Linked DNA regions of Tamandua tetradactyla. The main gene of each other region encodes a partner of the protein of the gene in region 2 in a complex. Links are inferred from orthologs where the notes say so. Each region holds a gene or a part of one and is shown on either strand. Other genes may lie near its edges. The genes, in order: YWHAB and PEAK3.

The links.
Region 1: the proteins of PEAK3 (region 2) and YWHAB are in contact, whole or in part, in a cryo-EM structure (PDB 8DP5), measured with the Homo sapiens proteins. The link is inferred for Tamandua tetradactyla from reciprocal best matches to the Homo sapiens genes PEAK3 and YWHAB. Residues at the interface, in NP_940934.1 of Homo sapiens: Arg66, Thr67, Gln68, Ser69, Leu70, Pro71, Thr72, Arg73; in NP_003395.1 of Homo sapiens: Val48, Lys51, Asn52, Arg58, Lys122, Arg129, Tyr130, Gly171, Leu174, Asn175, Val178, Glu182, Ile219, Leu222, Asn226, Leu229, Trp230.

Annotation. Positions count from the first base shown.
Region 1 is NC_135327.1:7,317,812-7,329,195, forward strand, and holds the start of YWHAB (14-3-3 protein beta/alpha), read right to left. Parts: upstream 4,790-11,384; 5' UTR 4,625-4,789; intron 4,333-4,624; exon of another isoform or gene 4,176-4,332; intron 1-4,175. UniProt on the Homo sapiens protein: Adapter protein implicated in the regulation of a large spectrum of both general and specialized signaling pathways. Binds to a large number of partners, usually by recognition of a phosphoserine or phosphothreonine motif.
Region 2 is NC_135337.1:80,580,805-80,592,943, reverse strand, and holds PEAK3 (protein PEAK3), read right to left. Parts: upstream 6,258-12,139; coding exon 6,176-6,257; intron 5,740-6,175; coding exon 5,201-5,739; intron 3,811-5,200; coding exon 3,031-3,810; 3' UTR 2,041-3,030; downstream 1-2,040.

The DNA.
Region 1 (11,384 bases), on a different chromosome or scaffold from region 2:
CACTAGATTCCTGCCCCCCACCCTATATCGGCGGAGCCAATGGTTAGGGAAGGGTTTACAAAGAACAAAGAGATTTTAGATAATCTAGCACTTCATTCGGGCTGGTCACTCCCTAGCAAGAACAGTGGGCATCTCTTGGCTTCGGCGGTCTGGTATAAATGCCCAGCCAGCCCCTATTTCGAGGTTGCCCACCCTTAAAAAGGTATGAGGATCACCATGGACTGGCAGAATCCAAACTCACTCGTGGCCTGGTGCTCGGCTCCTGTGGCCCAGGACTACCACTCACTCAGTCACGCACATTCAATCGACATTCCTCCCACACCGCCCTTCCTGAAACCGAATCTGAAGACTTCCATTTCCCTTGGTCCTGTACCATGGAGACTGGTACTCAGAGAGTCTTAGGGGTTCATCAGTCCACCCTTCCACTCAGGCCCCTGGCCTTCTACGAGTGGGCTGATAACATGACACACCCAAGTGCTTACCAGCCAGATGGGTGGTGCTCCCAGCGATCTGGTTCCTGAAACTGTCCCAGATCCGTCGCCGCTCCGGCGGTGATGAGCGCCCCAGCCGGGGAGGCCGGGATTCCGAAAGACGGGGAAATCCCCAGTGCTGGTACTGGATTCCGTCGGGTCTCTGGTCCAGGCGACGTCGCCGCCGTGGGCGAGGGAGGTGATAATGTCACCAGCTCTCGGTCCAGGATGTGCCCTCAGAAATGTTGCGCGAATACCGAAGGAATTAGGACCAAGGCACCGGAGCTTCAGGAAGCAAGATTTTATTCGTCCGTGCACACAGGGCCCAGCCGAGTCACCTCGAAAGTCTGAGCCCCAAACAAAAGGTCACAAAACCTTTTATAGTCAGGATGACGTTATTAAAGACAAGGTACGAAGTGGTGGGGTTGGAAGAAAACGACTGGCTGATTTAAATTGGGAAAGACTTGAGGTTGGGTTTACAGAAGTGGATGAGCGGTTAGGGGAGGGGTTTCTCCACAGGAATTTATCTTGCCTTGTCCACGTGTAATTTTACCGGTTCTTGGGGCAAACTTCCTGTTTACGTGTAGTTCCAACCGTTCAGAGGAATTTGAGGAATTCTTAACCAGGAGGTAGACTGCTTGGTTGTGCAAGGAGGGGTGAGGGCCTGCTGACTATAAGGGTCTACCTACTACATTAAGAATTGGCTTTTAGCACACACATTGCTAGTTTTTATTTCCTCCTTAAGTATTTCCCTCCTAAAATTCCCTTTGAATCCAGTTCCAACTGCTCATTTTTCTATCATGACAAACAGAGGACTTCTAGAATCATATTCCAGTAAAAAGCAAAATGGTTTAAAGCTTGGAAGGTACTATTACATCACTATAATTCCTTGACTCTTAGCAAGCATGAATTGCCACTTACCCTAAAAATTGAAGGAAACAAGGAACTTACAGTACTTTAATAGTAAATTTTAAGTTCATTCTTTAAACTATCCCCATTTAAAGGAAAAGGGCTTAGTTTCATGCCACAGAAAAAGTAAGTAGCATAACAGAATGTTATAATTTAGAACTTACTCTCTACTTACGTAGACATTCTCTTATCTCTTCCAACAAAATATGGAAAATCTAAAAATCTACAGAGAAAGCACTATGACAAAAATTAATGCTGGTTCTGACCAAATTCCATTAGGTGAAAAACCTAGGAATGGGTAAGTTAAACAGTGTGCCACAACATAACCAATGAACTTTCTCCCTAGTATAAAGCAAATACTAGAAAAACTGGATTTTTCACCAGGTTACTTTCTGATGTACACCAGCAGTATTCTGCAATCGCTACAGGCTAGAATGGCTGTATTTCCCTTCCAATAAATTACATTATATCTATGTACAAAAACAGTTAAAATTCCTGTTCAAACACATTTACTTTAATAGAATACATATAAAGAAAAAAATAAGGATTAAATGGTATTCACAGGGAAGGGATACATGTGTTGCTCCACCAGGGATGCTTAGAACAAACCCAGACTGCCTGGGTTTGATTCCTGGCTCTAGCACTTACCAGCTGTGTGAATAGGGGAAAATTATTTAACTTCTCCGTGCCTCAGTTTCCCTATCTGTAAAATGGGGTCAACAGTATTTAACTACTGTTGGCTGCTTTGAAAAACTGAGTTAATATATGTAAAGTGCTTACAACAAAGCTTGGCACATAGGAAGTGATTTAAGTGGTAGCTATTATTATCACAAACTAATTGTCTTATACTTATTGGCTGGTGAATAAATCACAAATGGATGGATTCTATACATCTATTCAAGTGTTCATGAATATGGTCAAATAACATTTACTAAATACCTGCTATATGCCAGAAGCTTATTAGAGTTTGTCACAACATCCCCTAAAGACTGTGTTACCATTCCCATTGTACAGATGAGAAAATGGACTCAGAATGACTACAGATAATATACACCAAGTAAAATTCTTTAATAATATATCAATTTTTAAAAGAAACATACGTGCAAATCAGAGTTGGATCTTGGAATGCAAATAGCATAAGAAGCCATTAACAGTGAATTCTAATTAAAAAAACAACAAAATGGAAAGCTTATATTTAACAATTTACAGTTTGCAAAAAGATTTCAGGACAATTCTGGAGATAGGGAAACTAAAAAACAGAAATTAAATAACATACTAAGATAAGGCATGTTATTCAGTAAGACCTGACTCAAATTTATCTGACTCTAGGTTGAGTGCTTTTTCTGCTTCTGTATCTGCACAGCCAAATGGACAAAATGTACTTTTTGCAGTGGCTCAAATCTTTGGAGACTGCCTAGGGAACTAGCATCACGGGAATTTGCTCAGCCTAGTTTTATGGAGACTGCCTCCAGATCTATACAGCTCCAATTCTAAAATGGCTCCAACATAACACAAGCAATGCACGATGGGAAATATACTGAAAATTATAGGGTAGGAGTCATACTCCAAGGGCTGACAGTCCATAAATATTTGCTAGTGCTGAAAGAGGATATTCAATCTAAAAACTAGGTGTGTGGTCTAGGTCAAATCACCTCATTTCTCATGAAGACTTCATCTATAAGGCAGGTGAATGGTTTCTTATCTCATTGAAGGAAAAGGCTAGGAAAATAATTCAGCAGTTGCTACTAGATTATTGGCCCTCCATTTTGAAGGCTAAACTTAAATTCTAGCTTAAGCCCAATAAAACTGACAGATTTTACCCTCATCATCATGCGAGCTACTAAGGGCATGGATTCAAGAAAAATGAGGGGCCCAGACTACCAAGATGTCTCAAACAGGAAAGGGGGTGCACTGGAAAACAGTCAAGAAGAAACTCAGTATGAGTCAAGTAAAATTTATACATAGAAATTTCCAGCAGGAAAATGCAAAAGGCTGAGTAGCCACATGTCCAATTCTATAAACTACATATGTGTGTGGTTTCAAGAACCGAGACAGAATGAGAAGTGATGACAATTTTCATATTCTTACAAGTCCTTCACCTTTTTGTTTTGGCTCCTACGGCTGTCTGACTCTATATGTTCAAAAAGCATCTTGCCAAATTCCATCTCCCATATCAGACAAGTAAAATCAAGGTCTGATGCTTTCTAGCCTTACCAAAAAGAAATGCAGTGAGGGCAAGGATAAGAGACATACATTTTTAAAGAAGGCTGGCAACCTGTCTTACCAATGCTGACACCTTTGAAAACCCCATTACACGAGCGATCTCCATTTGCAAAAGACACATCTGTCAAAAATGTACTCATCATTTCTAAAGAAATGTCATCTTCTATAAAAAAAAGGAGGGGGGCCAAATCACTCCCACAGTTTCCCAGCCATCAGGGTAGCCACCAGGCAAATTACAGACCAAAAAACGTGCTAACATACAGTATGGGGGAATTTGGGGCGAGGACACAAAAGAATCTGTGATTAAATGATAGTAAATACCGTGGGGAAAAAACTCTGATTCTCAGTCCCTGATATTTTTTCCTGGGGATCCAACCTGATTCAGTAACCGGCTCCAATAAATGCCATTTTTTTAATTCAAACCTCAACCCTGTGCTTCCCAGGAAATGTAGGATCCCGCCAGGCCCCATAATCAGTGAAAGATGATGAAATGGCTTTACTGCAAAATGGAGCGGGGGTGGGGGTGGGGGGGGTTACGTCTTCCTGTCTCCCAAGGTTAAACCCCTTACTCACCCAGAGGAAATCAAGCAGGGCACTGGAGCTCAACAACCCTCCCGCATTTGGTTAAATTTTAATTTACGGAAACCAGAAAGCGAGGAGAGGGATAACAGGGTTGAAAGGACCAGTTTTCTCCGCCCAAGGCGCGGGGTGAGGTCGTGAGAAGATCGAAATTTGGGAGGGTCAGCCTTCCCTTCCGGCCCGGTGATGAGCCGCACCCCGCCCGCCGGGCAGGGCCGCAGGCAGCGAGGGAGGCCCCGGCCTCCAGAAGAGGGAAAGGGCCCAGCCCCGGAAACAGGGAGGGGCCGAAGAGAAGCAGGACCGCGCCGCAGGCGGCCGCGAGGGGCTGAGGAGGCCCCGCGCCGCTGCCCCCGGGGCCCACCCGCGGACCTCCAGAGCCGCCGGCGGAGGGGAGTCTCGGGCTAAGGCCCCGGGGGCCTAAGGAGGGCCCGCGCCGCACTCACCGTGGAGGGCTGCAGGAGGCAAAAGCGCTAACGAGCGAAGCCCCGAGAGCTGTGGCCGCTTCCTTCCCAAGCCTGCTCCTCGGGCGGCGGCGGCAGTGTCGGTGGCGGCGGCGGCGGCGGCTACCCGGGGTGGGAATCGGCGGCGGCAGTGGCGGCAGCTCCACTTCCGCTCCGGTCACCACTTCCGCTTTGGCCCAAGCCCCGCCCCACCCCTGCGCCGTTTCCTCATTGGGCAACGGGGACACGGGGCTGCCCCGGCAGCCCGAGAGGGGCGCTGATGGAGCGAGGAGGAAGAAGAGGCCAAGTCAGGGTTGCAACCGGGTGGGGAGGGCGGAGGGCCCGGGGTGGATGCTAGGAGGAGGCGGCGGTGGGGAAAGGAGCGGAAATGAAGACGCGAGCGGGAAGAGGAGGTGGGAGGGGACAGGGCGGAGCTGGGGGCGATGGTCAAGAAATGAACCTGAGGGAACAAGAAACACTGGGAGAGGAGTTTGGGGTGGGATGGGACGTGGACCTGAGGGCGAGGGTTGTCCTGCCGCGGAAGGCCTAGAGATTCCGAGGGTCATCGGTTCCCACCCCATCCCAAGAGTAATACTCACGGGATCGGGGACTTAAGTCCATCCCCTCATGCTGTGTGCTTTGGGAGACACGCCTGAGGGAAGGACAGAAATTGCTCATCTCTAAGTTTTCACTTAGTCTTCCCTTCAACCCTTTAAGGTTCATATTATTTCTTCATTTCGAAGACCAAAGAAGCCACGTGTAGCGCCATTCGAACCCGTGAAGGTCATTTTAAGAGGCTTATGTGCATGATGTCTTCACTATGTACTTCCCGAGGCTCACAGAGGAAGCTTCTGGGAAGGAAACAGGCCTCCCATGTTCCCTCATCCCCATGACAGCTCTCACCATTAATGCTCTGTGATAGCTGACTCGTCAACCCATTTCTTCACAATGCCCCTCACTTCTGCTCCCTATCCCTCTCATTCATGCTTTTAAAAAATATTTATTGAGCACCTACTATATTCCCAGGCTTTGCACTTAGTGCAGGGGACCCAACAAAGAACAACACAGACAAGGTCTTGTTGTCTTGAAGTTTACAGTCTGGTAGGAGAAAGGAAAAAGTAAGGAGGCCTTCATCATCTCTTCTTTCTCCTTACTGAAATACAGCATAAGACTATTTCTGTCCTCGGGAAACATGCAGTCTGGTGGTGAGTTGGACATCCATCAGCTATTAAACACCGTAGTGTTTAGCTTTATGTAATCTTTTTAAAATTCTGCCTTGAACTGGTGAGGCATTCCTGGTGGAATTTAAGGCTCAATATCATCTCTTTCAGAAAGTCTTTTCTGCTCTCTACCAACACCCCAAGTCTGGGTTAGGTGCACTTCACCTAGATTCCTATAATACCCTGCACATATTTTTCTATGATTGCAATGGTCACCCTGTCTTTTATTATCTCTTTTTGTGTCTATCAGATAATATGCTTTAAATTGCAAATAACAGGAACCTGTCATAAGGTGACTCAAACTTTAAGGAAATTTACTGTTTCACATAACAGAAAGTTCAGAAAGAGTGTAGCCATTAGATTGGTCATTTCATACATTCATCAATGTCATCTAGGACCCAGATTCTTTCTATCTCTCTTCTCTGCTGTCATCATCAGGGTATTAACAAAATGGCAGCAGCATTTCTGGGTTTCACATTCATACATGATAATGTCCAAAGACAGAAGAGACACTTTTCATATAGTCCTCTCTCTTTGGAGCTATTTCAGTTTCTTTGGCCACTCAAGCAAATACCTTTCAGTGAGTTGACCTAAAAAGTGGGAATTCATTGGCTCATGGTTTTGAGGCTAGATGTCCAAAGCAAGGCATCATCAAGGTGATTCTTTTCCTAGCATCGTGGGAACCGGGCTGGCTGCCAGTGATCCTTGGTCCTGCACTTCTCTGTTACATGGCAGTGCATATGGCGGCCTCTCCGGTTCCCCTTCTCTTTCAGCTTCTACTGATGTTCAGCTTCTGGCTGTTCCCTCTGTGGCTTTCTCTCTTAACTCTATGAATTTCATTGTTTATAAAGGAATCCAGTAATCAGATTAAGACCTGTTCCAATTGAGTTGGGCCACACCTTAATAGAAGTAATTTTATCAAAGGGTCTACTTACAATGGGCTCATACCCACAGGAATGGATTAAGTTTATGGACATGTTTTTCTGAGGTACAAATCTCCAAACCATCACAGGAGCAAAGAGACTTCCCAAAACTTTCTTCCCCATTCTCCAGACCAGTATGTTTCTCTTCACATATTTTTAATTGGAATAAACTCACAAACCCATCCCAAAACCAAACCCTGGCAAGGAAAATGGCATTGCCCTTGTACCATTAAGTGCCCTTACATCCCCCTAGAGCTGTAAGTGGAGGATGGGGTAAGCATGGAGAAAAGGTAAATAAATAAACAAATTTGAGGTTCTGCTAGGACTTAAGAAGGGTGTAATGGAGCAACCAGTAGTGTGTGCTAGAATGTCTGTATCACAATAGGAGGCGAGTTCCCCACTGGGAAGACAATTTTGAACTCATCTCTGTATTTCTAGTCCAGATGCATTTGTTAAAAAAAATAAGTGAAGTCAAAGAAACAAAGACAGAGCAATGTAGAAAAGAGAGCCCTCTGCTCAGGAGATTTTGGAAAGCAAGGAGCACTGAAGATCCTCTCAAATGTCTAGGCTAAGGGTCAGCAAACTTTTTCCATAAATGGCCAGATAATAAATAATTTAGGCTTTGTGGGCAGTATGGTCTCTGTTGCAACAACTCAACTCTGCCACCATAGCTCAAAAACAGTCACAAATCATACATAAACAGATGGGTATAGCTGTGTTCCAATAAAACTTTATTTACAAAAGGAATAGGGTAGGATTTGGACTGCGGGCTGCTGTTTGCTGACACCTGGCCTAGACTGCAGAGATAGTGAAAGGAGCTATTCGATGCAACCCATCAGCAGACAGCCAAGGATGCTTTGTAAAAGTCACGTCTGTTCCCTCAAGACACTGATGATGTCAATTGTGGTGTAATCAGCTTGAGCCATCTGGACTACTAGGCTATTTTCTGGATGTGGGCATGAGGCACAGTCATGTTACATTAGAGCTTAGAGACTGCAGCAGTCTGATTTACCCGTCTTTGGTCTGCCAAAGTATGGTCCCCATGGGGAAGGTTTTGCACCAGGAAATCTTTCCAGGGTTCAAATCCAGTGGTTTTGATTACAAATCCACAACACTTCCTCTCAATCTTGTTCAAGTTAAATGGCGATATAGAACAGTGTTCAAACCCTGTGGTTTATTCAGCACAGGGGCCACTGACACAAATGCCTGTAAGACAGATAACATAAGTGAGGAAAGCAGGCCCAGGTCCAAAGGGGGCCCTGGCACTTTGGAAAGCCCACAGCCAATGGAGACGGAGAAGCCACTCCTTGGCTCCAGCCAATTATTGCCACACAGATATTTCTTGCCAGGCAAGGCAGAAATGTAGATTTCTATGTGAAATCTGTTTTTTTTTAATGTTGACAACAAACTCAACCTCTTTAGAACTATTGAACATGGCATGTTGGGAGAATAAGGAGTCATCTAACTGAACTGAGGTATTTATGACAGAGAAACAGGAGATAAAGGCTGATAGTTAAGGACAGCTTCTGGAGAACCTTGAGTGTCACACTAAGGAAATTTACCTATTGTCTTTTAGGTCTGCGCAATCACCAAAGGATTTAAGCCAGGAATGAACAGATTAGAACAATTTAAAAAGATCACTTTGGCAGTTAATGGGGGCAGGACTGAGGGTCTATCAAGCACTGGGCTTGGTACAGAGGATGCTCAATGAATGTTTACTGAATGAGTGAAGGCTAGGGAAGCACTGTCTGCCCCTCTGAAAAACTGCCAGCTGTAATTATCAGTTCCCCAAATTGAAATACCGTCCTCCCATCTTGTGAGGCAAATGATCATGGTAATAGTATGAGAATTTGAGGGAAAGTGGGAATTGAACCCACCCCAAGTGAGGCTTCATATAAGGCAGTCCTGCCGCTTTCATTCAACACCGCAGGTGGGGCTGGACAGTAGGCTCAAAGTCTAATGCCAGGCTGGTTCGGGGTTCAGAAACTGGATTCTCTTTATCTATGTACTATGGGCCAGAGAACAACTTAGTACCAATAATAATAATAATAATAATCTATTTTTTAATTAAATCACTATACTTTATAGATTCTAAAGTATATACATTCTCATATTTTGCTATCTCTGAAATTGTGATGTGTTTTCCTGTCAATGAAATATCCTAGTTTGATTGGCAGCATTTCCCTTTCCCACTCACGCTCTTAGGGATACATAAAAAATAATGCCTCTTAAAATCAATGGCATCTTCGAAAATGAAGTATAGTAAATTCTTATTTTTATCAAAGTAGAACATATACATAGTTTAAGTCAAGTAGGTCTCTTTTTCTTGTGAAAAAAGGTGGGCCCCCTGGTCCACTGTTCCCCTGATGAGGGGGACAGAGCAATTATTTTCAATTCCTTTAGCTGTTTCTTCTGCTACTTTCCTCCAACTTCTAAATAACATGCACATAGAGCTACTTCTTTATAAGTAAACAAATAGCTTTTAGATTTTCAATTTTGGATATTATTTATTCACTTCTTACTGTGGACTAGAAGATTTTACTCTCTAAAGTCACTCTGTTAAACATATACCACTCTATCATTCTCCTGATATAGTCATTTATATCATATTATACTATATTATATTACTATACTGTACATATTGTATTTTGTAGTATTTTCTTGCTTGAAATGTGTTTTGTGTTTTGTTTGTCTGTTTCCTCTGGAGTTAACAATTGCCTTAAACATGAAATTTCATTCGCATTAAAGCTAAGACACACACAGTCAAAAGAGAAAGTTCTACATGACTTGTTATGTTAAAAAAAAAAATTCCCCACCCTCCTCCCCACATTCTGCTTCTCTAAACAACCACTTTCTGCAATTTATCCCAAAATAACAAACTCAACTGCAATTCCTTTACTTTCTTACTTTCAGCATTATCTATAGGGACGCCGCAATGGTATATGAAGATTAGTTCTCTCTGTCACACATTCCACACGGCAACACCCTCCAAATCCAGCAGGTGAATGCTTACTTTCTGCCCCCCTCCACATGCACCTTTTGAAAATAATTATGGGATAATTTTAGTTCGATCAATATTTAGTGTTTACGTCTTTGTGACCAGAGAAGCACGAGTGACAGCCTTGCCTGGTAGCGTTCTATGATTGCTTTCCCTTGACTGTACCACTTGTTGTTTTCCCTAGGAGTAATCAAGCTTTTGTTTATTGTTTCCTTGCTCAGTTTTCTATACTCTTTTTTTATTATTAATTTCATTTTTTTTAAATACCAAAAAACACCAAACAAACATACACATGCGTAACTTTTGATCATTCTGTTCTACCTATATAATCAGTAATTCACAATATCATCACATAATTGTGTATTCATCATCATGATCATTTCTTGGAACATTTGCATCTATTCAGAAAAATAAATAAAAAGAAAACAGAAAAAAATTCATACATACCATGCCCCCACCCCTCCCCCTCACCGATCACCAGCATTTCACTCTAAATTCATTTTAACATTTGTTCCCCTTATTATTCATCTTTATTCCCTATGTTTTACTCGTCTGTTGATCAGGTAGCTAAAAGGAGCATCAGACACAAGGTTTTCACAATCACAGAGTCACATTGTGAAAGCTGTATCATTGTTCAGTCATCATCAAGAAACATGGCTACTGGAACACAGCTCCATATTTTCAGGCAGTTCCCTCCAGCCTCTCCATTACATCTTGACTAACAAGGTGATATCTACTTAATGCATAACAGTAACCTCCAGGATAACCTCTCGACTCTGTTTGGAATCTCTCAGCCATTGACTCTTTATTTTGTCTCATTAGTTTTCTATATTCTTGACACTAATTACCCACGGAACACTAGCTTCCCATTGCTGCTAGAACAGATGACCACTAATGCGGCAGCTTAAAAAAATAATAAACCATTTGTGATCACACAGCTCTGCAGGTGAGAAGTCGGAATACAGTGTGTTTCAGCTGTGTCTCCCACTCAGCATCTCACAAGGATGGGCTTCCTTTTCTGGAGGTGCTGGGGATGAATCCACGTCCAGTGTCATCGAGGTAGTTGGCTGCCAAGGGACAGAGGCCCCTGTTTCCTTGTAGTCTTTGCTCCTAAGGCTGCCTGTATTCCTTCACGCTTCACCCCCGTCCCCAAGTCCTCTTACACTTCACATCTCTTCAGTTTCCCCTCCTGCAGGAACTGTCTTGCTTCCTCTTTTGCCACACCTCTCTCATTCAGCTGGAGAAAGTTCTCTGCTTTCAAAGGCTCTTATGAGTAGATTGGGCCCATCCAAATAATCCAGGATAATCTTTTTCTTTTGAGGTCTGTAACCTCAATTACATCAGCAAAGTACCTGTTGCCACATAACGTATGTAACAGTCTCAGGTTCCAGTAATTAGAGCTTGGACATCTCCTGGAGCTGTCTGCATGGTTCTGATTTGGCCTGGCTGCCCTCTAGGCCTGGACCACTATTTTGGGGTTCCCTTTTGTCATGGTCAAGTTCATGTGTCAACTTGCCCAAGTGGTGGTACCTGTTTGTCTGGTTGGGCAAGTGCTGGCCTGTCTGTTGCAAGGAGGACATTTCACAGAATTAGATCATGATCACATCAGCTGCATCCACAGC
Region 2 (12,139 bases):
GACCCCCAGGCCCTACCCGCTCAGCCAGCCTCTTGCTCCTCCCCTCACCCTGTACCCCGATCCCATTCCCCTTCTGCTCGGAGCCCTGGGTCCTCGTAGGCCCCACCTGGCAGGCTCTGACGCCTGTTTCCCCCACAGCCGCCCTGCTCCGCACCTTCAGCTTTTTGGGCTTTGAGATTGTGAGACCCGGGCATCCCCTTGTCCCCAAGAGACCCGACGCTTGCTTCATGGCCTACACGTTTGAGAGGGACTCCTCGGCTGAGGAGGAGTAGTGTCGGCATGCGTCCCCAGAGCTTCGCTGCTGCCTGGGGGAGTCTGGTGCCGGCCTCCCTTAATGCTGCGCTCTGGGGAGACGCGATGGGCCACGGCTGTGCTGGCGGGAGGTGGCACGGCAGACTCTTCCGGGCTTGTCCGCATGATGTAATTGTGCAAATAAACGCTCACTCCAAATTAGCAGTATATTTCTTGAAGTTTAATATTGTGTTTGTGATACTGAAGTATTTGCTTTAATTCTAAATAAAAATTTATATTTTACTTTTTTATTGCTGGTTTAAGATGATTAAGATTATCCTTGTACTTTGAAGGAGGAGTTTTCTTATTTGAAGTATTTTGGAAATAGTCTTAGGCCTAAGGTCTCTTACCTTGGAAAGACAGGTGTTAACCTACCCTTCTGCTCTCAAATCAGAATAAAAGCGATTGCACCTCGAGACCTGTGCTGCCTCAGTCCTGCGCGTTCCCTTTCTGAGCTTCTGTCTTTGTGGGGTGGCCCTTGTGGGAACCAAAGTGGGTGGTAAAGGGGTGGGGGCTCCCTGTGCTATTGCTGGTAGGATCTTCAAAGATTCTCTTGGGGCCCTGGACAGGAAGGGTGTAGGATCCGCCCTGGACTGCTGGCTATTTCTGGGTCCCGGTGCCACCTGGCCACCTCTATCCACAGCTGCCTTCCTACCGTCTGCCCAGGTGGGGCCTGCGAGACAGACCCAGGACCACTTGGTGTAGGTAGGAGGCTCATACCTCTCCAGCCACTCGCCTTCCTGCTGTCCAGAGTGAACTTGGTCTGCCCGGCTGTGCCCTCTTCCTGGTGGTCCTTGGTGAGGTTATCTCTGAGGTCTACCAGGGGTGGAGCTGGGAGTGAGGCTGTAGGGTTTGAGGTGGAGGGGGGGCTTTGTGCAGAAAGCACCCTGGAGCTGGAGCCTGTGTGCCCCAGCAGGGGGTGGGGCACAATATAGGTGGCCCTGCCTGGAAGGCCCTGAGGGTGAGTGAGAGTTTAAGGCCAAAGACCAGACCTAGGGCTGGAACATAGGGGCAGCCCTGGAACAAACGCCCCAGGACTGCTTCAGTCACTGCACTTTGCTGGGAAACGGGCAGGAGAGGAAAGGGGCTTGGTGGGATTAAGGCACCAGGGGAGGTAACAGACAGATGGGTCAGGCTTCAAAGGTCTGGGGAGATAGAGTTTTATAGAGATGCCCCCAGTCCCTGTTGGCAAAGGAAGGATCAAGAAGAGCATTGGCACTGGGACACCAAAGGATGAATAGAAGTCTGAAGCAAAGGAATTGGTGGATGCTGGTGTAGTTTCCCACGGAAGAAACAACTTGGGCAAAGGCCTGGATTCAGAATGTACCATGTGGTGGGAGGTTGTCCAAGGAGAGCTAGCAAGGCCTTTGAAGGAGCCCTGTGTGTATTCTGAGGGTGCTAGGGAGCCATGGGAGGTATCTGAACAGAAGAGGGGCCTGGTCATATCGGAGTTAGAAAGGTCCCAAGGGGACAGTGGGGTTGGCGTGGTGGTTGAATGGAGGGGGATTGTGGATCCTGGATGCCAGGGCAGAGGCCTAGGCAAGAGCAGACAGGCCTCTTGGAACTCCTGTGCACCCTTTTCGAAGGGGTAAAGCTACATCCGTGTCTCTCCCTCAGGTCCTTGATGCGTCTGGTCTGTGCCTGTTCATTCCACCATCCTATACTATTTAAGCACCTACTGTATGCCAGGCCCAGAGCCTGTTCTCAGGGCTCACAGCCTGCTGGACAGGGTGGATAGTAGGTGAACAGATAAAGAGACGAATAAATACTTGCAGGTGGTCTTTGGGGGAAATAAAGCAAGGTGAGGGGCTAGAGAAGGGCCCTGGAGGGGCAATTTTATTGGATTAAAGGAATTCTCTAACGAGGTAGGGTTTGAACAGTCTGGCCAAGAGAACTGCCTGTGCAAAGGCTCAGAGGCTGGAAAGAATTGCACATGTCATGGAGGAAAGCAAGGAGGCCCGGGTGAGTGGAGAGAGTGGGGGAGGGGCAGGACTTGTGAACCCAGGGGAGATCTTGAGACAGGGGAGTTTAGACTTCATGGTGGGCTGTCTGGGCAGAATGTGGCTGGCATGGGGTTTGAGGAACCTGCCCCTGGAGACAGTTCCTAACGAGGGATTGGGTTGGTCTAAACCTGCAGAGTCACTCATTGGCTGTGATCAGCATGAGGAGGTCCTCCAGAGCCAGGTGGGCCTTGGACCCCGGCATTGGAAGAAGGGCTTCCAGAAGCCATTGAAACAGTGATCTTCAGATATCAGAGCTGGAAGGGGGCCCTGGCTTCTTCTGGACGGGGAGGGTTCTCCCCCACCACCACCACCACACACAGACATCGGAAGAGGGGCTAGAGGCCCTGGCATGAGAAGGGCACTGTACACACCCCATCAGGGGGCATAGGGCTCCAAGGAGCACACATGGGGCAACTGGGCCATCAGGCCTGCAAGACTGGTGGCCAAGGGTGTGGCAGGGCCGGGCAGCACACAGAGCAGGTGCTTCCAGTGCCTGGAAGCACCTGCACTCTTAGGGGGGCCTTAGTTCTATGTCTCTGGCCAAGGATGAAGCAGGTATTGGAGGGGAGGCGTCCAGACTCCAGGAGACACTGACCAGACCCCAGCCCTCTTAGCCAGTCTTGGCTGCCAGAAGGCACTGCTCTATGGTGGAGACACTGGAAAGCAGTAATTGCCTCTTGGGCAGGCCCTGAGCCCCGTTGAGTGTTAGGATGGCCGTGTGGGCCCTTGGGTAGGGTTAGTCCCACAGCAGGGCCAGGGCACGGCCCAGGGAGGCCTCGGTGGCCTCGGCCAGGTACTCGCAGGCCAGCCAGTCCTCCAGGCCTGGCGCCTGGCCGCCTGCTGCCCGCTCAGCCAGGTGCAGGACCAGCAGCGCGCGGCGCACCTGCAGCCAGGACCCGAGCGACACCCCGCGGCCGCGCAGCTCAGGCCCGGGCCCCCAAAGCAGCTCCTGCAGTGCGCCCCGCATCCGGGCCGCCGAGGGGCGCGCACGGGGCAGCTGGGCCGCCAGGCGCTCGAGGCCCGCGGCCAAGGGCGTGGCCGGGGGCGTGGCGGGGCCGAGCAGCGCGCGGAGCAGGCGGCCCAGCTGCGGCGCGTGGGGGCCCGGAGGCCCCGGGGGCCGGGGTCGGACGCGGCCAAAGTCGGCGAGCAGCAGGCGCTGGGGCCCGCCGCCCGTGCAGCCCCTAGGCGCCGCCAGCAGTAGGTTCTCCAGCCGCAGCTCTGCCAGGGCTGCTCCCCGCGCCTCCAGGCGCTCCAGAGCTGCGCTTAATTGCAGCAGCAGCAGGGCCGCGGGCCGGGCGAACCCCGCGGGTCGCCGTGCACCGACCTCTGCCAGCCACTGGGCCACGGTGCGCTCGGGCACCTCGGCCGTTAACACCACCGGGCCCCTCCAGGGCGCAGCGGGCAGTGTGCCCTCAGGCAGCAGGCCGCAGAGACCCTGCAGGTTGAAGTGGGGGGCTAGGGAGGCCTGCAGCTCCATGCCCCATGGGTCCGGGGCCTCTGCTTCGGGCTTGGGCACCTGAGGGACAGAGGGGAGCATTAGGACCTAGCCCAGAAGCCCCCCAGAGCTCAGTTTATCCCACCTCCTCTACCTGCCCTGACATTTCTCCTGCTTGCCATTGCACCCTGCTCCCCACTACAGCTTTGGGGAACCTACATCTCCTCCTGAAGGAGGGGGTAAACGGGAAGCCAGATGTTAGTTGCTAAGGAAGATTGGATCTGAAAGGACAGTGGTTAGATTAGGGGGTCACAGTTTCCTGCTTGCCCCCCTGGTCAGTCTCCTCAATTCCCAAAGAGGGGATGTCAGATAGGGTAGCACAGCTGGGCTGTCCAATAGAAATGTCCAGCGGGCCACACATGGGACTTACAATTTTCCAGTGGCCATGTTAAAATCAAAAGGTGAAAAGAAACGGGTGTTAATAATATATTTTATTTCACCCAGTTTATCCAAAATAGTGCCAACATGGAATCAAAATAAAATTTATTAATGAGATGGTTTACTTTATTTATTTATTATTTATTTGTGATACCAACTCTTCAAGAGCTGGTATATATCGGGCATTTAGCACATCTCAATCTAGACTATGGCTGTATTTTTAACGATCCACAGTCATGAATGGTCAGGGGCTGCGTTACTGGACAGCAAAGCTCTAGAAGGTTTGGGACGTATCAGCTCTGGGGATTACATGAGAATCATCTGGTGGTGGTGGGGACATGGCTGAACATGGATGTTTAAAGAATAATTGTCCCAAAATGCCTCTGGCATGGAGCTAGGGTGGAGAACCATCGTTTGATGTTGAGCTGGCAATAACTCATGACAATGCCTATTGTCGAATTGAGGCAGTTGTCCCCAAATTGTTATCCATCTTACAGGTGATGATATTTTAAAGAGGAATAATTTTCTTTTTCTTGGATGTCCACATAGAAGGAGCATCTTATGAAATACATCATAAAGTAGCTGTGTGGATTAAATTTTAGAGATTAAATGGCTCTAAAATCCCTTAGAATAGAGCAAATCACAAAGGCAGTGCTTAATACATGTTTGCACTTATAAAGTGCAGCTGTCAGCCAGCTATCGCTGGTGAACTCTGTGGCCTTCTAACTTGGAGAATTCATCTGGGGAGTGAATTAAAATGCAGATTCCTGGGCCCCTGAGATGTGCTGGGGTGGGGAACTCCCAGGTGATTCCAACATAGGTGACTCCACCTTTTACAAACTTGGTAGCAACTGCTGATTGTCAATGCAAGTGTTAATTGTCAATGCAAATGTTAGCCGCAAATTAAGCAATGAAACCCAGGCTGAACATTCCCGCCCCCCCCCCCCCCCCGCTTATGCCTCAAATGGAAAATGGAGGAAACCCCAGAGAAGGGTCTTACGGGAGGGGGAAGGGGCGCATGGCCTGGGCTCACCTTGGCGGCCAGGATGTGCCAGGCCTCGCCGTCCACGCGCACCACGCGGTAGTAGAGGGCGTCCCCGCCGTCGGTGCACGGCGAGCTGTCCAGGAGGCGGAAGCTGTGGCCCGGGCGGCAGGGCCCGGGGCGACCCCCCATGAAGCGGGCAAGGAGCCGGGTGTGGATGGCACGGACACCCTCCAGGTGCCGGGCGGCGAGCGCCGCGTGCGCGGCCTCGGGACTCCGCAGCTCGCGGAGGAAGTGACCCAGCTCGGGGTCGGGCGTGCTGAAGGTCAGCTCTGCGGAGGGACCGGCGCGGCCGGCTTGGTCGCCGCCGGCCTGGCTCTCGTCCACACTGTGGGACTCCAGCAGAGGCCTCCGAGGCTGCCCTGCCCGTGCGGGGCTGGGAAAGGGGGTCTTGTGGGTGGGCAGGGAGTGGGCGCGGGCCAGGGTCTTCTTGGGTAGGGGCGGGGGCAGGAGATGCGGGTCGCTCGAGAGGGACCCGGGGGTCCGGGGGCGGCAGGCCTTGGAGGGCAGCAGGTGGGCACGGACCTCGCCTGTCCGGGGAGAGATTTGGGGGTTGAGGGCGTCCAAGACGTGGGACCCAGGGCTCCTGACCCCGCCCCTCAGCCTCGATTTCCCCACCTCTAAAAATGAGTGGGGGGCGGGGTGTCATCCCGGATTTACAGATGAGGAGGGGACCAGTCAGGGCCAGAGAGGACTCCTGACCCCACCAGGTGGACCTCATTTTCCTGCGAGGCTCTGGGCACGGGACTGGGCCTCTTTGAACCCCCAGTTTCCTCATTTTTGCCAGCAGGGTAATCCCAGAAACCCTGGGGCCAGGCCCCTCCCCACCCACCTCTTCCCTCCCCGCCCAGGTCCCGCCCTCCACCATCAGCCCCGCCCCCAGGTCCCGCCCCTCACCAGCCCCCCCCATCCCCGCCCCCTCACCAGCCCCGCCCTCCCAGTCTGGCCCCGCCCCCGGCCGCTCACCGAGGTTGCTGTAAGTGGGCTGCCCTGGCCTGGAGGGGTCACCTGGCCCCGGGGTCTCAGCGGGCGGCTCGGGGCTGCTCATGCTACCGAGGGAAGGTCAGAGTGAGCGCCACACCGGGGCAGGAGGGTACAGGTCTGGGCCTGGGAGCCAGGAGCCCGGGAGTGCTGGTGCCCCCCGGGGAGGGTCTGCCCCTCCTCAGGGGGACCCCGACTCTGGCTCCTCTCACCCGGTGCTTCTGCTGAGCGACCCGGGTGGGTGTCTTGCCCTCTCTGGGCCCATTTTCTCCTCCCTGAGATAAGAATGTCACCTGCACATTTGGGAATAGCCAGTCCAGAGGACGGGGGTGGGGGGCAATTGGGGCTGGGAGATGCTACGCAGGGACCCTCTCTGGGACTTCAACTCAGAGCTCAGCCGCCCAAGGCACCGAGAGGTGATATGAGAAGCCAGCCCTCCTCCCCCACTCCGTGTCACCCCAAGCTCCAAAATCTTCTGCCCATTCCCTGCCCCAGTCCCCCCTCCAGGAGGCCCCTACCTTCAGGGCTGGTGTCTGAAGTAGGTCCTGAGTGACTGTGGTGGGGGGAGGTGGGGGGAGGGGACCGTTGGGACCAGCTCACAGTAGCTGCAGCCCCTGGCTTCCCGGGTGTTTCTGATCTAGAACTGGCAGAGAACAGGAAATGTCCAGCAACAGTTAGACCGCAGGCCCGGGGCTGCCGGCAGCACTTCCCCACCTCCCAGGGGGCCCCACACACCCTGCCTGCCATCCAAGGACAGGGTGGACCTGGAATCCATTCTGGGCAGAAGGAAGACTGACCCCAAAGCAATAAACTCCAGGGCTGGTGGCAGGGTGGGGAGCCTCGAAGGGGAGCTGGGAGCCCTGTGAGGCTGGGGAGTGAGATACATTTGACTTTCCCATCTTAGGTGAGGGCGGGGGGCCACAGCAGTGAAATGCAACCAGTGAAATGCAACCCGGGAGGCTCTTTTCTCTGGTGACCCCCTGAGAAGCCCCCAGCACACGGCCCCGCCCCTCCCAGAGCCCTCAGACTGTCAGAATCAGTTCTGTTCCGATTTGCTGTGTGACCTTGGCCAAGTCGCCACCAACCCCTGCCTCTCTGTGCCCCAGTGCAAAAGAAAGTTTCCCACTCACTGGTTCATGAACAGCCGCTTTAGCTGGAGTAAAATAAAAGATTAATCAACTCACTCACTTTCCTCCCCACCCCTTAAATGAATTTTTTTTCTTAAGTTGTGGTAGTGTGTGTATGTGTGTGTTTGTGTGTATGTGTCATACAATTTGCCATTTGAATCCCTCTTTTTTATTTTTATATATTTATTTTGGGGGGTGGGTGCATGGTCTGGGAATCGAAGCCGCTTCTCCTACATGTAAGGCAAATATTCTACCACTGAACCACCCGTGTACCCTTTTTTATTTTTTAAAGCAGTTTCAGGTTTACAGAAAGATTTTGTAGAACGTACAAAGCTCCTATGTACCACCCACACCCAGTTTTCCCTGTTATTAATTTCTTTAAAAAATATTTTTATTTAAGAAAACACTAGAACCACCAAAAAATGGATATCTTAGTGAGCTTAACCGTAGGCAGATTTAAATAAAGCATCCATACGATCATTGTAAAACCTGTGTTTGCACAGTATATTTCATAAACCAATTTACCCCTGTTATTAATCGTTTGCATTCATGTGGCACCTTTGTTACAATTGATGAACCAATATTATTATGATTATATTATTTACTAAAGTCCACACTTTACATTAGGGTTCGCTCCTGCATTGTACAGTTCCGTGGATTTGGGGTTTAATTTTCATTGCGCCGACAGATACAACATCAAATTTCCCATTTGGAGCATCTGTAAGTGTACACCTCGGTGGCGTTAGCCACACTCACAATGTGGTGTCACCATCACCGCCACCCATTACCGAAACGGTTTCATCATCCCAACAGTGACTCTGCACCCGTGAAGTGTTAACTCCACACCCATGCCCCGCCCCCCAGCCCCTGGTAACTTGGAATCTACGTTCTATCTCTAGAAATTTGCCCCATCTATGTGTTTCTTAGTGGAATCATTGCATTTATTAAAAAAAAAAAAAAGACACTCTATGTGGAACTGTCATAAGTGGAAAACTACAAACAGTGAAAATCCAGTGCGCACAGGCTGAAAACCTCCCCATGGGAGGCCCTCGGCCAGGACCCCGGAGTAGGCCCATGAAGGCAAATAGTTTGTGTGAGTTTCCTGCTGGGGGTCCTCATTCTGTTTCTCTTTGGGGAGAGGTCCAGAGAAGGCAGGAAATACCCCGGGACCCCCTTAATTGACCTTGCAAAGGATCCCCGAGCTTGTTCTCCTCGGTCCCCAAGCCACAGCCCATGGGTGGGAACAGTGTCGGTGACCAGGAAGGAAGGGAGGGGACAAGTAAATATATGCGGCTTGGAGAATCATCTGGAAAGGGGCTGACTGAGAGAGAAGGGGGCTGGGGAGTGAGAGGGAAAGGTGGGGGTCGCTTGCAGGGCAGGAGAACTGGGGCCAGCCCACCCAGCACCCCAGCCTCATCTGGGAGGGGAAATTGAAGCGAAGAGGTTCAGGACCCCCCACCTGTCTTTTGGGGGACCCTTTGAGGGGTCCCCTCCTGGGGTTTTCAGCCACCGATCTTCTAGATCCACCCTAGTGGGACCTTGGCTGCTGAATGCCACCCCGCCACAACCCAGGCGGGGAAGTTACTACCCACAGCGCCTGGAAGAGCCTTTGCTGCAGGAGGGAAGGTGGAAATGAGATTTCATGGGGTCCCATCCCCAGAACCCCCCAGGCTTCTTTGAAGTCAGGCATGGAGGCGCCACCTCGTAGCCTCTGATGCTTAATTTACGTCTCTGTTCTGCTTTAGTCTCCCACAGGGCGGGGAGAGAAAGGAGCCTGCTTCCCATGTTCAAAGGGGAAACTGAGGCCCAGAGAGGGTCGTGTTGGTGGCACAAAGGTCCCGAGAGGGGCTGCACTTGGCCGTGGCTTTAGTTGAACCCCTTCCAGAAAGAGTGTAGCCTTCTCCCTCTATACCAGGGGCCAATGAGGTTTGAGCCCTGCCTCCAGCTGGGAGGATCCGCTCTGCCTCAATTTCCCCCACCTGTCATGGGACTCCCCGCCATAAGAGGTGAGACTTTCCCCTGCGCCCCTGCCAGCCCCAAATGAGGAAGTTGCCCTCCCTCCAGGAGGCACAAAGGAGGGAGCTGTGCTCACTTCTCCTTTCTTCCCTGCCTGGGCTCTGCCCCTGGTCTGGGTTTGGGGAGTTTCCCTGACAGCCCAGCTCTGCTTCAGGCACTCCCACCCCCAGGGCTGGGAGACTATGGGAAAATCCCCTCCATACCCCCACTCTCCCTCTGCTCCTCTGTAAAACCGGATTGTAACAGGACCCAGCTCTTGGGCTGATGGTCAGCATGAAGGGAAGTTACTACCCACAGCACCTGGAACAGTGCTGGGAACAGAGTGGGCGCTCCTGACATGTGGCCACTAGCATTTTCCCCACCTGTTAATCTCATTCCACAAACACCCTGGGACTCAGGGTCAGCTCTGGGGCTGGGGGCAGGCAGCTGTCCTGACCCCAGCCTCCCCTTATCCCCCAGCCTTGCCTCCTGCTCCTCCTCGTCCCACAGGAATTAAAGAATCTGACGTTAGTTATCAGATTGATTTCATTTTTTATTGGATTCCAACCATGTACAGCAGGAGGGTGGTAGGAGACTGGGAGAAGAGGGGCTGGGAAATCCAAATTCGCTGACACTCTGTAAACCCTAAAGCTGCTGAGAATGCACCCCCAACCCGTCTTTGATGATGCTAAAGGCACTTTGGATGTCATTTGTGTGTGTCTGTGTTTTATTTGGAGGGGGGGGCGGGGTCCCTTGGGGTTGTCATGGCAACTTAAGACAAGAGGATGTTAAGGGAGAAAAAAAAAAAGAGAGATCTGCCAAAATCAGGGTAGAGTTTAGGGTTGCAGGGTGTCCCTCTCGCCCTTTGTGATATCCTGCCAGGTGTGGGGTCGGGGGCAGGGGTTCCACCCTAGCTGGGAGACCTGGGCACGGGGATCAGATGCTGTGTGAATGTGCCCCGCAGCATGGCACTCGGTCCCGCTGGCCTGTCTATGCTGTGGGGGCAGGGCCAATGGTCCCAGCCACAGCCTGAGTGGCAACAGGCTGGTGTCCCCTTCTGAGGTCAGTTTGAATCTTTTGTTCAAAGCCTCCAGAATTGATCCGGCTTTCTTTCTGGCTCATCTCAGGAGGGCCTTCAGGGATCCAGGATTCAGGAGATGGGCTGGCCTCTGTGCATGAGGCAATGGGCACCCTCAGATCCTTTCACAGATGACAACACCAAGGGTCTGAGTGGACCTGTTACCAGCGAGGTCATCCAACCGGGTGGGAGCGGAACTGGCTTTGAGCCTTCCTACAAAATCCATGAGGACACTGAGGACATACATTTCCTGAGCCCCTTCCCCTGACAATGCCTAATCATTGTCTGACTGAGATGAGGTGGGTGTAGGCACTGGGCTTGGAGAGGCTGGGTCATGGGGGTCCCTGTCTGGTATCTGAATTCTGCAAAATCCCTGCTCCTGCTTGGTTACTGCCAGTGACAAGGAGCTCACCATCTGCAGAGCATTGACCTTGGAAAGTTCTTTAATTTGAGCCACAATCTGCCCATGAAGTCCACTTTTGGCCCTAGCTCATCCGCCCCCTCTGAAATCACAGAGGCTAAGATCCCTCTGTCACTTCCTGCCCAGAACCTGGGTCCAGGCTCCCTGTGGCCTACACCTTTTCCCTGGCTTTGGTCCCCATCGCTGCCCCATGCTAGTGAATGTAACAGAAGCCCTGGAAGCCCCTGCCCTCTCTGGTCCTGTTCCCTGCATGAGCACTGGCCTGGGCACACTAGCCCCCGGGGCTCTGTCCAGGGCCAGCTTCATTAGGTCAGTAGGTGCCCAGGGTTGGAGGTCACTGCAGCTGGCCTGTTTCAGAGGGATAGCCCATGAGAAATCCTCATCAGCCGTCCCAAGAGTGGAAGCAAGTGGCATCTGGAAGGGAGGTAGAGGCCACTAAGGGGGAATGGCTTCTCCCAGCCGGCCAGTGGGGGCCTGGTGTGGGGGAGTCTGGGGGCCGTGGACAAGAGCAAGCAGGAAGGGAGCTGGGGCAGGTGTGTGCTGGGCCCCTCGGGGTGGGCCTGACCTGCTCAGCAAGACCTGAGGCTGGGCCTCAGGGTCCCACCAGGGGATGCTGAGCAGGAGCTGGGAGTAAGCTGAGTGTGTCCTGGGTGCAACTTGTTCATGTCCCGGGTGTGAGCTGTGAGCGACCCGGTGTGAACTGTGCATATCCTAGGTGTGAACTCTGGTTATCCCCGGCATGAATGGTGTGTTTCCAAGTGTGAGCCCTGTGTGCCCTCCAGGGAGAGCCCTGTGTGCTCCTGGTGTGAGCTCTGGGGCACAGTGTGTGTTTCTGGGTGTGAGCTGTGTCCTGGACGTGATCTGTGAGTGATCCGGGTGTGAGTTGTGTCTGGGTGTGAGCTGAGTGTGACCCGGGTGTGAATGGACTGTGCCCTGGGTGTGAGCTGTATGTCCTAGATATGAACTCTGGTTATCCTAGCGTGGAGGGTGTGTGTCTGAGTGTGAGCCGAGAACATCCTCTCGTGAGAGCCCTGCGTGCTCGCGGCATGAGCTAGGTGCGAGGTATGTGTGTTCCACTTATGAACCGTGGGACTCTGTGTGTGTGCATCACACGTGTGGATAAGTGTGTGCTTTGGGTGTGTGGTGTAGGGCTTTCCAGGGAGGGGGGCCGTCAGTGACTCCTGGGTGGGAACCGTCTCCCCCAGGTGTGAGCTGCGGCCGGGGGCAGCAGCTGTGTCCATCCGGGGTGGGAGCTGTGGGGTCCGAGCCCCGGGCCCCGCCCCGGGGTGGCGGAAGGGAGCCCAGCCCTCCCGCCCGGGGCTTGGGAG